Xenopus tropicalis: one gene and its partners. The protein of the gene in region 3 interacts with the protein of the main gene of each other region in a pairwise test. Links are inferred from orthologs where the notes say so. Each region holds a gene or a part of one and is shown on either strand. Other genes may lie near its edges. The genes, in order: rap2a, rap2b and rundc3a.

Evidence for each region.
Region 1: the proteins of rundc3a (region 3) and rap2a interact in binary tests that used the Homo sapiens proteins (3 or more experiments, as listed by UniProt). The link is inferred for Xenopus tropicalis from reciprocal best matches to the Homo sapiens genes RUNDC3A and RAP2A.
Region 2: the proteins of rundc3a (region 3) and rap2b interact in binary tests that used the Homo sapiens proteins (3 or more experiments, as listed by UniProt). The two-hybrid records come from large-scale screens. The link is inferred for Xenopus tropicalis from reciprocal best matches to the Homo sapiens genes RUNDC3A and RAP2B.

Annotation. Positions count from the first base shown.
Region 1 is NC_030678.2:121,611,946-121,615,741, forward strand, and holds the start of rap2a (ras-related protein Rap-2a), read right to left. Parts: upstream 2,919-3,796; 5' UTR 2,812-2,918; coding exon 2,498-2,811; intron 1-2,497. UniProt on the Homo sapiens protein: Small GTP-binding protein which cycles between a GDP-bound inactive and a GTP-bound active form. In its active form interacts with and regulates several effectors including MAP4K4, MINK1 and TNIK.
Region 2 is NC_030681.2:117,180,547-117,184,377, forward strand, and holds rap2b (ras-related protein Rap-2b), read right to left. Parts: upstream 2,275-3,831; 5' UTR 2,164-2,274; coding exon 1,615-2,163; 3' UTR 9-1,614; downstream 1-8. UniProt on the Homo sapiens protein: Small GTP-binding protein which cycles between a GDP-bound inactive and a GTP-bound active form. Involved in EGFR and CHRM3 signaling pathways through stimulation of PLCE1.
Region 3 is NC_030686.2:18,580,364-18,583,963, reverse strand, and holds the start of rundc3a (RUN domain-containing protein 3A), read right to left. Parts: upstream 2,540-3,600; 5' UTR 2,294-2,539; coding exon 2,187-2,293; intron 773-2,186; coding exon 657-772; intron 533-656; coding exon 399-532; intron 1-398. UniProt on the Homo sapiens protein: May act as an effector of RAP2A in neuronal cells.

The DNA of each region.
Region 1 (3,796 bases), on a different chromosome or scaffold from region 3:
AGGACTTCCCATACCTGTCAGTTGAACTGAAGACGCTGCTAGGATGAGTAGTGAAACGTCTTAGCAAGTCCAGTTGCTCTAGATTACTTATACTAGATATACCATGACCTGGATGAATTAAAATCTTCATAGTCATATTTAAAATGAGAATGAGATATCCTCAGTTGGAACACACACTACAGTAGAGTTCCAACTAGTCACTGGAAGCAATGTCTGGACAAAAGTGTTGCGAGTAATGGATTATTATGGTTGAGCCGCCGCACACAAGTTTATAATCACAATTCATGGTGAAGACACAGGGGGCAATTAGTCACCGCAATTTAAAAAAAAACTCAGTAGTGGCGACTAATTGCAGAAATTGAACTGCTATAGATGTGACTAATTGCGTGTCATTTGCAGCAGGGCAATTAGTCACTGCAACTTTTTAAAAAGTTGCAGCCACTAATTGCCCCGTGTGACTTCGCACCACTGGACTTTGGAGTAATGGATTTTTTTTTTCTTCAGGCCAGCATTCCTCATCACATAGAGAAAATGCACTGGTGTTCTTTATAGCTACATATTATGGGAAGTATTATAATAATTATACTTTAAATAATAGACATTTGGGGAGATATTAAACTGAAAAGGGATTAAACAATTCTAGTAGACACCAAACTATCGGAGGCTGACACAAAGCTGTTTCATAACTAGGAATTCATTCAGGGAAAAGAAGCACAGTTCCACTATCAACAAAGAAAGAGCTACTTTATTGTATGGGTAGTCAGGTTTGAGAATGGAGGATGACACACTGTGTAAAATTGAAATTAGTGAATCAAAACCAGACTGTATAAGAATGAAATGAACCCGATGAGCTACAGGTCTAAGAGCAATGGCTATCCTAACCATTTTGTTGCTTGCTTTTCAGCTTACAGTGGGAATCATAACACTTGTACCTGTGGGCCAAACAACTATCACTACAGTTTTTACCCTACTGAAGTTTTGATTTTTGCCTTTTGATTTTTTCATCAAAACTGAATCCCGAAGTGCCCAAGTAGGCAAGCTAGTGTTAATGGTCATGCACCAACCCATGGCATTAATATACAGAAGGAAAATAGCTCACCAATACCCATAAGCTCAAAGCCAACATGAAAAAACCCATGTACCACTGTAGCCCTTTGGATACTCATGAAAAACTGTTTCTAACAACTACTTAGATATAAATGAATTCAATGAGGCACAACTTGTGGACCAAAGCTGCACTGTTGAATTGGATCTGCTGGTATCCCACAACAGGTAGGATAGATCAAGTCTACCCGCCCTATCTATAGTCTTTAATGGTCACAGCATGACTGCTTTATATCACAGCATGATCGTTTCAAGCATATATATATATATATATATATATATATATATATATTTTATAACTTAAATGTCATATATTTACTTCTAACTCATTTAATCGCCAATATAAAGTGTATTAACCATGACTGATGGTATTTCACACATTTTTGCATTGTTTTTTCTGGTGCTACTAGTGTAGCAATTTGTGTCTAAAACAACTTGTACTATATATATATATATATATATATATATATATATATATATATATATATATATATTATACACTTCTCTTGTGTATACATGCACAGAGGTTTTCACTAAATCATGCCATTAAATAGAAAGCCTATCCAGATGTAGACAATTTGTGTACAGCCACAGACTTAGATGATAATGGCAGGATATTCACAGATGCTTGTTATGTTCATATGTAATTAAGATGCTTTTGGCTGAGGGTTTCAGTGCCTTTCAATCCCTTTACATAAGGTCAGTAGAGCATATGTGCATGTTTATTTAAAGGCAAGTTCATATATGATACATGATGACTCAGTAGAATGACAGTAGGGAGCAGCATGTGTTGTGTTTATATATATATATATATATGAATACCCTGAGGCTCCACTGTGCAGCAAAGCCATCAAGCAAAAAGCTCTGCAATTCTGCCAGTGTCTGAGATTCCTCTGAGGAGCCTCATTGTTCCCTGCTGTAACAGAGAGACTATGGGGAAAGACCCAGACATATTAAATATCTATGTCAGTCATACTGCAGGGACCAATATTCTGTTTCCAATCTATAATATAAAGCATTACATGTACAAAAGCTGGACTGGGCAGACAAACAAAGAAAAGAAATAAATGAAGGATGCAATAGGGGAGCAGCCACAGCAGAAGGCTCTACCCCAGCCTGCCCCAATGGGCACTAACAGGGCAACAGGACAATGAGCTGCACAGGAGCCAATGAGAGGCGGCTTGGCTGGAGACAGGGGGGCAGTTTACTGGCAGGTTGAACAAAAGTAACTAGAGACTAAGGGCCCCCTTTGTTCTGTGCAGTAAATGATGCAGAGCCGCGGCCCCACACCTGTGCTGTACGGCAATGCCAAGCTGGCAGCGGAATGTGAGAGTTGTAGTTGAACAGCTGGAGGGCCGCGTCCAACCCTACTCCCCCCCCCCCCCCCGCTTGCCTTTTGACGCGGATGATCTGGTCCCTCATGGGCTTGATATCCTGGAAGCTCTGCTGGTTCACCATGCTGTACACTAGGATGAAGCCCTGCCCGTTCTTGATGTACAAGTCCCGCATAGAGGCGAACTGCTCGGTACCGGCCGTGTCCAGGATCTCCAGCACGGAGGGGGACGAGTCTACCTCTATCTCCTTGCGGTAGAAATCCTCAATGGTCGGGTCGTACTTCTCGATGAATGTCCCTGTGACAAATTGCACGGTCAAGGCCGACTTGCCGACCCCGCCGCTTCCCAGGACCACCACCTTATACTCACGCATCGTCCCCCTCCGCTCCCTCACAGCGCACCGCTTCTCCGCCTCCCCCTCCGTCCTCGCCGCCCCTCCTCTGCAGCGGCTTTACGAGACATGGGAAAAAGGCCGGGCTACGTGGGCCCGGTGCCCGGAGCTCCCCTCTCCCGGAGCGGCTGTTATTCGCTCATTCGCCCCCCAGTGACTCGCGTCGGCCTCTAACTACCCACTCCCCGCTCTGCCAGTGCTCTACGCCCACTTTGCTCGTCATGGCCCTCGCCTCTCTACCATTGGCTCCTTCACCTGTCGCCTTAGCAACTACCGGTCCTCAGGAACACAGGGAGGAGAACGGGACTGGCATCACCAAATCCGCCTTCTTTTATCAGGATGCTGTGAGGAAAAAAAGCCATCGCTCGGTCCTCAGCGGCAGCCAATCAGAGTGGAGTATGACCTTGGCGTCATACTCACAAGCCAATAGAAAGAGACCAGTGCTGAAAATGGGTTTGAAATAAAGATCCGCTGCCCGTCCTATGAGTCTCTCTATGCCAGGGATCCGCAACCTTTTATATTTGTGAGCCGCATTTAAATGGAAAAAGTTTTGGGGAGCAACACAAGCATTAAAAAAGTTCCTGGGGGTGCCAATAAAGAGCTATAATTGGCTACTTAATAGCCCCTATGTGGACTGGCAGCCTACAGAAAGCTCTGTTTGGCATTATACTTGGTTTTTATGCAACCAAAACTTGCCTCCTTACCAGAAATTCAGAAACGAGCACCTGCGTTGAGGCCACGGGGAGCAACATCCAAGGGGTTGGTGAGCAACATGTTACTCATGGGCCACTGGTTGGGGACCACTGCTCTATGCAATGTATAATATGAGAACATATTGCATTAAACGTAGAAATATTAACTCTCCATTTATATATATACTTGTATGTCATTCCTTTATTCCGTAAATCCCTGCAGACTTTTTAAGCAACAGGTTGTTTAGTAGTACCTTGTACTGTAATATTAGCAA
Region 2 (3,831 bases), on a different chromosome or scaffold from region 3:
ACACCGTATGATGTCACAAAGGATTTTGTATTGAACTCAGTTTAAAACAGAAGAGACGGGCTTTTTCAGAGCCTGTCCAGAAAATAAAATAACACATGTTAACGGTCTTGGTACATCACAATTTGTCATCTCTGGCTGATTTGCAATGTTAGCCACTGCTGGTATAGTAAGAACAGAAAGAGGGGCGTAACACGTACTAAAACAAATGCTTAAAGACTCTTCCTGTGCCACTCTACATTCTTGCTGGCATGGTCTGCTGGACACAGAAAAGGTTAATCGCCATCCCCTCCAAAAAATGTGCAAGACATGGAAATTACAATAACAGGCTCAGAAATAGGTTCCAGGGACAATAGATTCCTTTGTCTACGCTTGTTCAGTGTGATTACTGAGAGGAAACTGTTAAGTAGTTTTCAGAATAGAAGATAATGAGATTTTGTTGAGGATTTTCACAGGTTGGCACCGGCTGGAACAGCTGAATTTTGAAGGCACTCTAAGGACACAGGGCACTATTGACCCTGGCTCACAATTAAGTCAATTCACTGTATATTAAATAGCTAAGCATCAAAAATCAGTTATTGCCAGCACACATAAAACATAAACATCTGTAACACTTTCACAGCTGATAAGAAAAAATACTAATAATCTTCCCAGATCCCCATATGATACAGCAGGTAAACAAAATAGATTTCATACACACACACACACAAACACACATACCAGCTAGGAGGCCACATTGGGCGCCCAAGCCATGTTGGCATCTTTTATCTCATTTTAGATGTGCAATACTTCTGAATGTATACTCTGTAACAATCATCCAACTTTGCATAGATACCTAAAATGAAAGTCAGCAGGTGAACTGCAAGTCTGGGAGTGGGGAGAGACTCCATTCCATTTGGATATTTCTGTGTGCCTTTCAGAACTTAGATAAGGCTTGATTTAAGGAGTAGGTCCCTTCATGCACTCACCCATTTCCAGGCCTTTTATTAGTGGAGGTGGGGCCCAAGATCAACCACTCAATAGGAGGCCCCATCCCCTGTAGTAAGCAGGGCTTACCAACTTGTGGCCATGCAGCTGTTTCTCAACAACAACCCCTAGCAACCCCAGGCAGCCTTTAATGTTCAGAGGATGCTGGGCGTTGCAGTTTGGAAGTAGCTGAAAGGCCAGAAGTTGGATAGTTCTGGTGTTTCTATTTACCCCTCTATACCACAGTTATACTCCATTCCTCAGGTGATCCTTCTCCATGCTGCTACAGGTGCTGCATGAACAGTCTAAGAGGTACAATTATGGGCCTTCTCCTCCCAATTCCTCCCAAACCCTTGTACTCAGCAGGGCCCCCAATAGGCAGCCCTCCTAACTGCACCCCAAAGGGTAGGTCTGTCCATGTCTGTCTGCAAACAGGGCATTGGTACGTGCTGAGGCATCTCCAATGTATCTCCTTTTCGTGTTGGCCAAAGCTTCAGTGTTTTGCCCGCAGAGCCCTGGGCACATGGAATAGACAAGACCCATTAGAGCCCCCCACATACTGTATGCTAGCCACTTGATGAGCAGATGACATCCCCAGGACAAACACGCCCCTGTGCTGCCAGGCAGTGGGAGTCAATGTAGCACCGGGGCTCAGAGAATGACACAGGAGCAGCAGCGATCATCCCCGTTGGGCTGGGACGCGTAGTTCATCTGCCTGACGATCTCGGCAAACAGTTCATCCACGGAGCCTTTATGTTTGGCTGAAGTTTCCATGAAGGGGCAGTTCCATTCATCCGCCAGGGCTTTCCCTTCCCCGTAGGACACTTCCCTCTCGCCTTCCAGATCCACTTTGTTCCCGACTAGAATCATGGGCACTTTCTCGTACCGTTTCACCCGGATGATCTGGTCCCTCATGGGCTTGATGTCCTGGAAGCTCTGCTGGTTCACCAGGCTGTAGACCAGGATAAAGCCCTGGCCGTTCTTAATGTACAAGTCTCTCATGGAAGCGAACTGTTCGGTGCCTGCAGTGTCCAGGATCTCCAGCACAGAGGGCGACGAATCCACTTCGATCTCCTTCCGGTAAAAGTCCTCTATGGTGGGGTCGTATTTCTCTATGAACGATCCGGTGACAAACTGCACGGTCAGAGCCGACTTCCCCACCCCGCCCGATCCAAGGACAACTACTTTGTATTCCCGCATGGCTCTCGCCTCCTGCTGCCGCCCGCCTGTAGCTCCGCTGCTGGGAGAAGCGCGGCTTTCACTTCATCGGTTCCCCTGCATATAAAGCTCCGGGGCGGGGGGAGCCACCGGGAGTCCCCGGGTGTATGTGTTGCTTCTAGTAAGGGACCGGCCCTGCAGCTCCCTCTCTCAGGCTGCGCTCCTCTCCATTCCCTTCCCTGGCAGCCCACACTGTACTTATCTTGAATTACACTTGCATTTTTTGTAACTGCCTCTTGCCCATTGGCTGATGCGTCTCTTGGCTCTGATTGGTCGATAATAGCGCCCCTTTGGTTGGTTCGGCTGTATAGCCGCAGAGAAAGTATTTTCATTAGTCAGGCGTGACTCATTCACTAAGGCAGGGATCTCCGAAACTGGCTGTGTAGGTCTTGTGCAACTGCTACTCCCAGCGGCCGGCATCCCTTGGCAACCTAGTGGGACTTGGTAGATCAGTCCTTTTTCTGCGATTAATAGTTTCCAAAAATATTTTGGCAACTCAGTATATCTGCGCTCACAGGGGAAAATATAGCCGTGTACTTGTATGCTATACTATGTAGGTGTGTACTAAGCATGCTGGGAGCTGTAGGATAGCGATAGGAGGGTTGTGGGTTGGCCATCCATGAGTATTATTGCTTATCTCTAACAACCTGGTATTGGCCCTGGTATTTCTAGTACAGAGAAGCCCAAACAGCCACTACAAGGCCAAGATAAAGCTCCAGTCTGTGGCAGCTCACAAAAGCCTTTCTGGTATTCCCAGGCCTGCAGTGGTACTATGGCTGATGTTTAATGTTATAATAACTGCTTATACTAACTTTATAACAACCAGTCATCAGAATCAACTCACATTTCGCTTTAATTTGCAACAGGTTAGGCCAGAGGAACACTGGGTGTTTTCTGCCGACACAAAAGAGGAAAAAAAGTGAAGGACTCGAGTTAAATGAGAAGTTGTAACATGTGACCTTACATATTTTGTCCAAAATGTGGTACAAACACCTCAGATTTTACTAAATTGTATATATAGGGATTCACACAGGCTGAATTTGAGTGCTGGCAATGTTATTCTCTTTTGTGTGTGCAAATGATGGCTTCTTATATTTTGTAGTAGCTGGTCAACTCCCGAGCATAGGTGATTCCAAACGCAGTCACAAATAGCAGCTGGTTAACGCTATAGGGTGGGTTAGACCGAACACGGACGATTTCTCTTTGTGTCGTACACTGGATATTTTATCCTTTGCTGCCAACAAATACTGCTGTGCAACTGCCATCACTCCTAATATGATTGAATGTAAAGTGTGGGCAAAATGGTCCATGTGCCAGGCTGTGGTATGATCCAGCTGAAGTATCTGTTTTATGCATTCAGTTGGCCATTCAATTACATTTAAAAGGTACTTCCATCTAAAGCCACTCCTTGCACTTGGTTGGCTCGACATTGCTGTGGCCTCCTCTTGTGAACTGCATGCTTGACCAATGGGAACGCACAACAGCCTGTGTCAGCTGAGGCAGTGAATTTGCACTTTACAAAGTTAAGTTCAGATGTGACTGATGCAGAGCACCACAGATGACATCCAAACACCAAAGATTTTTAGCGCAATTGCCTGCAACTGCACTTGTTTTAATGCTTTACCCACAATTGTATTAGGCTTATCGCTT
Region 3 (3,600 bases):
CATAACCCACAATGCATTGCACTGTGATGTTCCTTTCCTTATTGACATCACGTGTGCAGGGGATTGTGGGATTTGGAGGATGCAGGCTGGGAGGAAGGTCGACAACTGTTACATTTTATTTGAGTCTCATAGCAGTCAGCCAGACCAGCAGGGGAACAGGGGGCCCAGCTTAGGGAACTGTTCCAAACCATATTTTTACTTTAAAAATAATGAAAAGGCTGCATATTTTTTAATTGATGTATGCTGCAAATTTGCTGAAATTATGTTTACTTCAAAAAGCTCAAATTGTGTTTTGATGGAGTTCCCCTTTAACCCCTCAATATCCTATATATCCTATGCTAAGTGACCCAGTAAAATTGCCTGAAGCCTCATCCCAAGGCTGTCCCACCAAAGCTGACCTTTGCCCTGGCACTGCTAATGTTCTCCATATTTTCAATGCTGCTAATGCAGTTGTTTGTGACTTTGCTGCAGGCAATGCGAATATAATCCCAGAATCCTCTCTGGCCATCTGTGCTAAACCAGCTGACATGACCTGGAGCAAGAAAGAAAGAAAGAAACCGGTCAGATTGGGAGGAATGGGCAAGTTTCAATTATATAGCTTGGCCTGGACATTTGGTTGCCATAGGGGTATTGACCACTAATATTTTTTGTATGACCTTTGAAGCGATGGCTTAGGATGTGCTCCAAAATAGCAGCAAAGTTCACAAACTCCTCCGACGAATCATCAATGGGCTCCGCTGTGTATTTCTCCAGCAGGGTCTTCACAGAGAACCTGGGGAGGCAGAAGGGGACAAAAGAGAGAGTAAGCACTGAGAGGGGTACAAAAGAATATATGGGAGCAGGAGATGAGACAGGACAGAACAATGGAGTGTAAAAAGGTAAATGAAAATGTCAGCAAGAAGCTGAGGAAAGAGCAGTGAAGGTCTGAGAAAGCATTGGGCAGTACAGGAAAGGAGATGGCAAGGAATGTAGGCTAGGTCACAGAAATAGAACAGCACAGCTTGGCTCTAGCTAAGGGAGATGGATGATAAAAGAGAAATGGGAAAGTGAAGTCACGGGATATGATTCATTGTGTTGCTTGTGCTGCTCTCTGCTTCTCTTGATGACTGCGTGGACATAAAATAAGCCATAAAGACACCCTTCCATTATGTGCTAAAACATGTATGACCCAAGCATGTATTCCCATCCTTTTCGCTGTTCTAATTGTTTTCATCAGTAGGCCATTTTCTGTAGTCCTTTCCAGCTTAGGAAAGAATAACCAGGGGTGTCCAACCTGTATACCTCCAGCTGTTGCAAAACTACATTTCTGGTTCTCTCTGACAGCAGATACTGTAGATACTGTAGTTGTAGTCTAGAGAAATACTCAATGAACATCTCTAAAATACCATGTTTTATATACATGTGCATATATTGTACATGGGCTGGGCTGTGAAAGATAACTGTAGGTGGGATGCCAAAGTTTGTTCAATGACTGGAAAGTCACTAGTTGGCTATCCATGATAAAGGTTACATTTGTCCTTGCATGTTATATGTACTGCACATGCATTGTGTAAGATGGCTAGCAAGGGGGTGATGGGAGTTGTAGTTCAACAGCAGCCAGAAGGATGCTGATTGGAACTCTTTTATAACAAATACATGCAAATGCTGTGTTTCTGTTACTTTCTGTTCATGTTCTGTACTGAGGTGACACTGTATATGTGTTTGACTCACAGGAAATCCCAAAGGCACCTAACCAGCATGGCTATCTTAGGTCACCTGACCCGCTGTCTTCTGCCCATGTCTGTCCCTGTCTCCCGAGAGCCAAACAATAGCCAAACCACTGGAGTCAGACAAGGGGGGGCCCTGGCCACTATAAAGGGTTAAGGGCCCAAATAATAAAGATTAGGATACAATTACTGGACACAATAGCAGGCAGGCTTTGCTGACACCAAGGCCCCTTTCAGGTTAGGGCCATACTAATGAATTGGAGCCCATAATAAATGGATTTCTGCCCTGACATAAAATTGACCCTATAGGTGCCAGAGCTGAATTATTTTAAATCATTTAACTCATATTTATTCCTCTACCCACCCTGCAATGTTACATACAAACCATATCTTTTAACCATATCTTCTCACCCCCTTCAGATTTTCGTTGCCCCCATTATTCCCTCAATGCCTTGTAAAGCCAAGACACCCCCGTCCCACCTGCACACAGTCAGTAGGTTCTTTCTCTCCACAGCAATGTTCCTGGAGGAGGCCTTCTTAGATGGCAGTCCCAGAGCCATGGCCGACTGGATAAAGCTCGGTTCCATCCACAGCACAGGATTCTGGCCCCCCTCCCCAAATGATCCCTCCACTCCTCCTCCGCCACCACCAGCAGGGCTGCAGCTTTCCCCTTCCACCCAGGTCCCCTCCCCGCCTCCTCTCGCTGGCCTCCAGGCTGCCTGTCCCCCTCTTGTGAGGAGAGCGGCCCAGGGAGAATAGAGCGGCCGAAGGATGGAGCGCAGGGGAGAGGCTGCTGTCCTTGGTGCTGAAGCTGGAGAAGTGACGTCACAGGGCCGGAACGAGCGGCTGGGGGGGCGGGGGGAGAGGAGTGAGAGAGAAGCGGCTCCGGATAGGGAGGGAGGGAAAGAGGATGTGAAGTCAAGGGGACCCCTGAGGCTTTATATCCTATTCAGCTGCCTTTATACTATCAACATATATGGAGCTTCTCCTTATTTTACTGCTTCATTATCTCTCCTCCCCTGTACGTTTGCAAAAAATAGGAAATTAATACAGTTGTCCTTTAGGAGGAGTTATAAGGAGGGTAATATGGAGCAATAGGAGGAGTTATAGGGAGGGGTTATATGGAGCAATAGAAGCAGTTATAGGGAGGGTTATATGGAGCAATCGGAGGAGTTATAGGCAGGGTTATATGGAGCAATAGCAGGAATTATAGGGAGAGGATATATGGAGCAATAGAAGGAGTTATAGGGAGGGGGTATATGGAGCAATAGGAGGAGTTATAGGGAGGGTTATATGGAGCAATAGGAGGAGTTATAGGGAGGGTTATATGGAGCAATAGAAGGAGTTATAGGGAGGGTTATATGGAACAATAGGAGGAGTTATAGGGAGGGTTATATGGAGCAATAGAAGGAGTTATAGGGAGGGTTATATGGAACAATAGGAGGAGTTATAGGGAGGGTTATATGGAACAATAGGAGGAGTTATAGGGAGGGGGTATATGGAGCAATATGAAGAGTTATAGAGAGGGTTATATGGAGTAATAGGAGGAGTTATAGGGAGGGTTATATGGAGCAATAGAAGGAGTTATAGGGAGGGGGTATATGGAGCAATATGAAGAGTTATAGAGAGGGTTATATGGAGTAATAGGAGGAGTTATAGGGAGGGTTATATGGAGCAATAGCAGGAATTATAGGGAGAGGATATATGGAGCAATAGAAGGAGTTATAGGGAGGGGGTATATGGAGCAATATGAAGAGTTATAGAGAGGGTTATATGGAGTAATAGGAGGAGTTATAGGGAGGGTTATATGGAGCAATAGCAGGAATTATAGGGAGAGGATATATGGAGCAATAGAAGGAGTTATAGGGAGGGGGTATATGGAGCAATAGAAGGA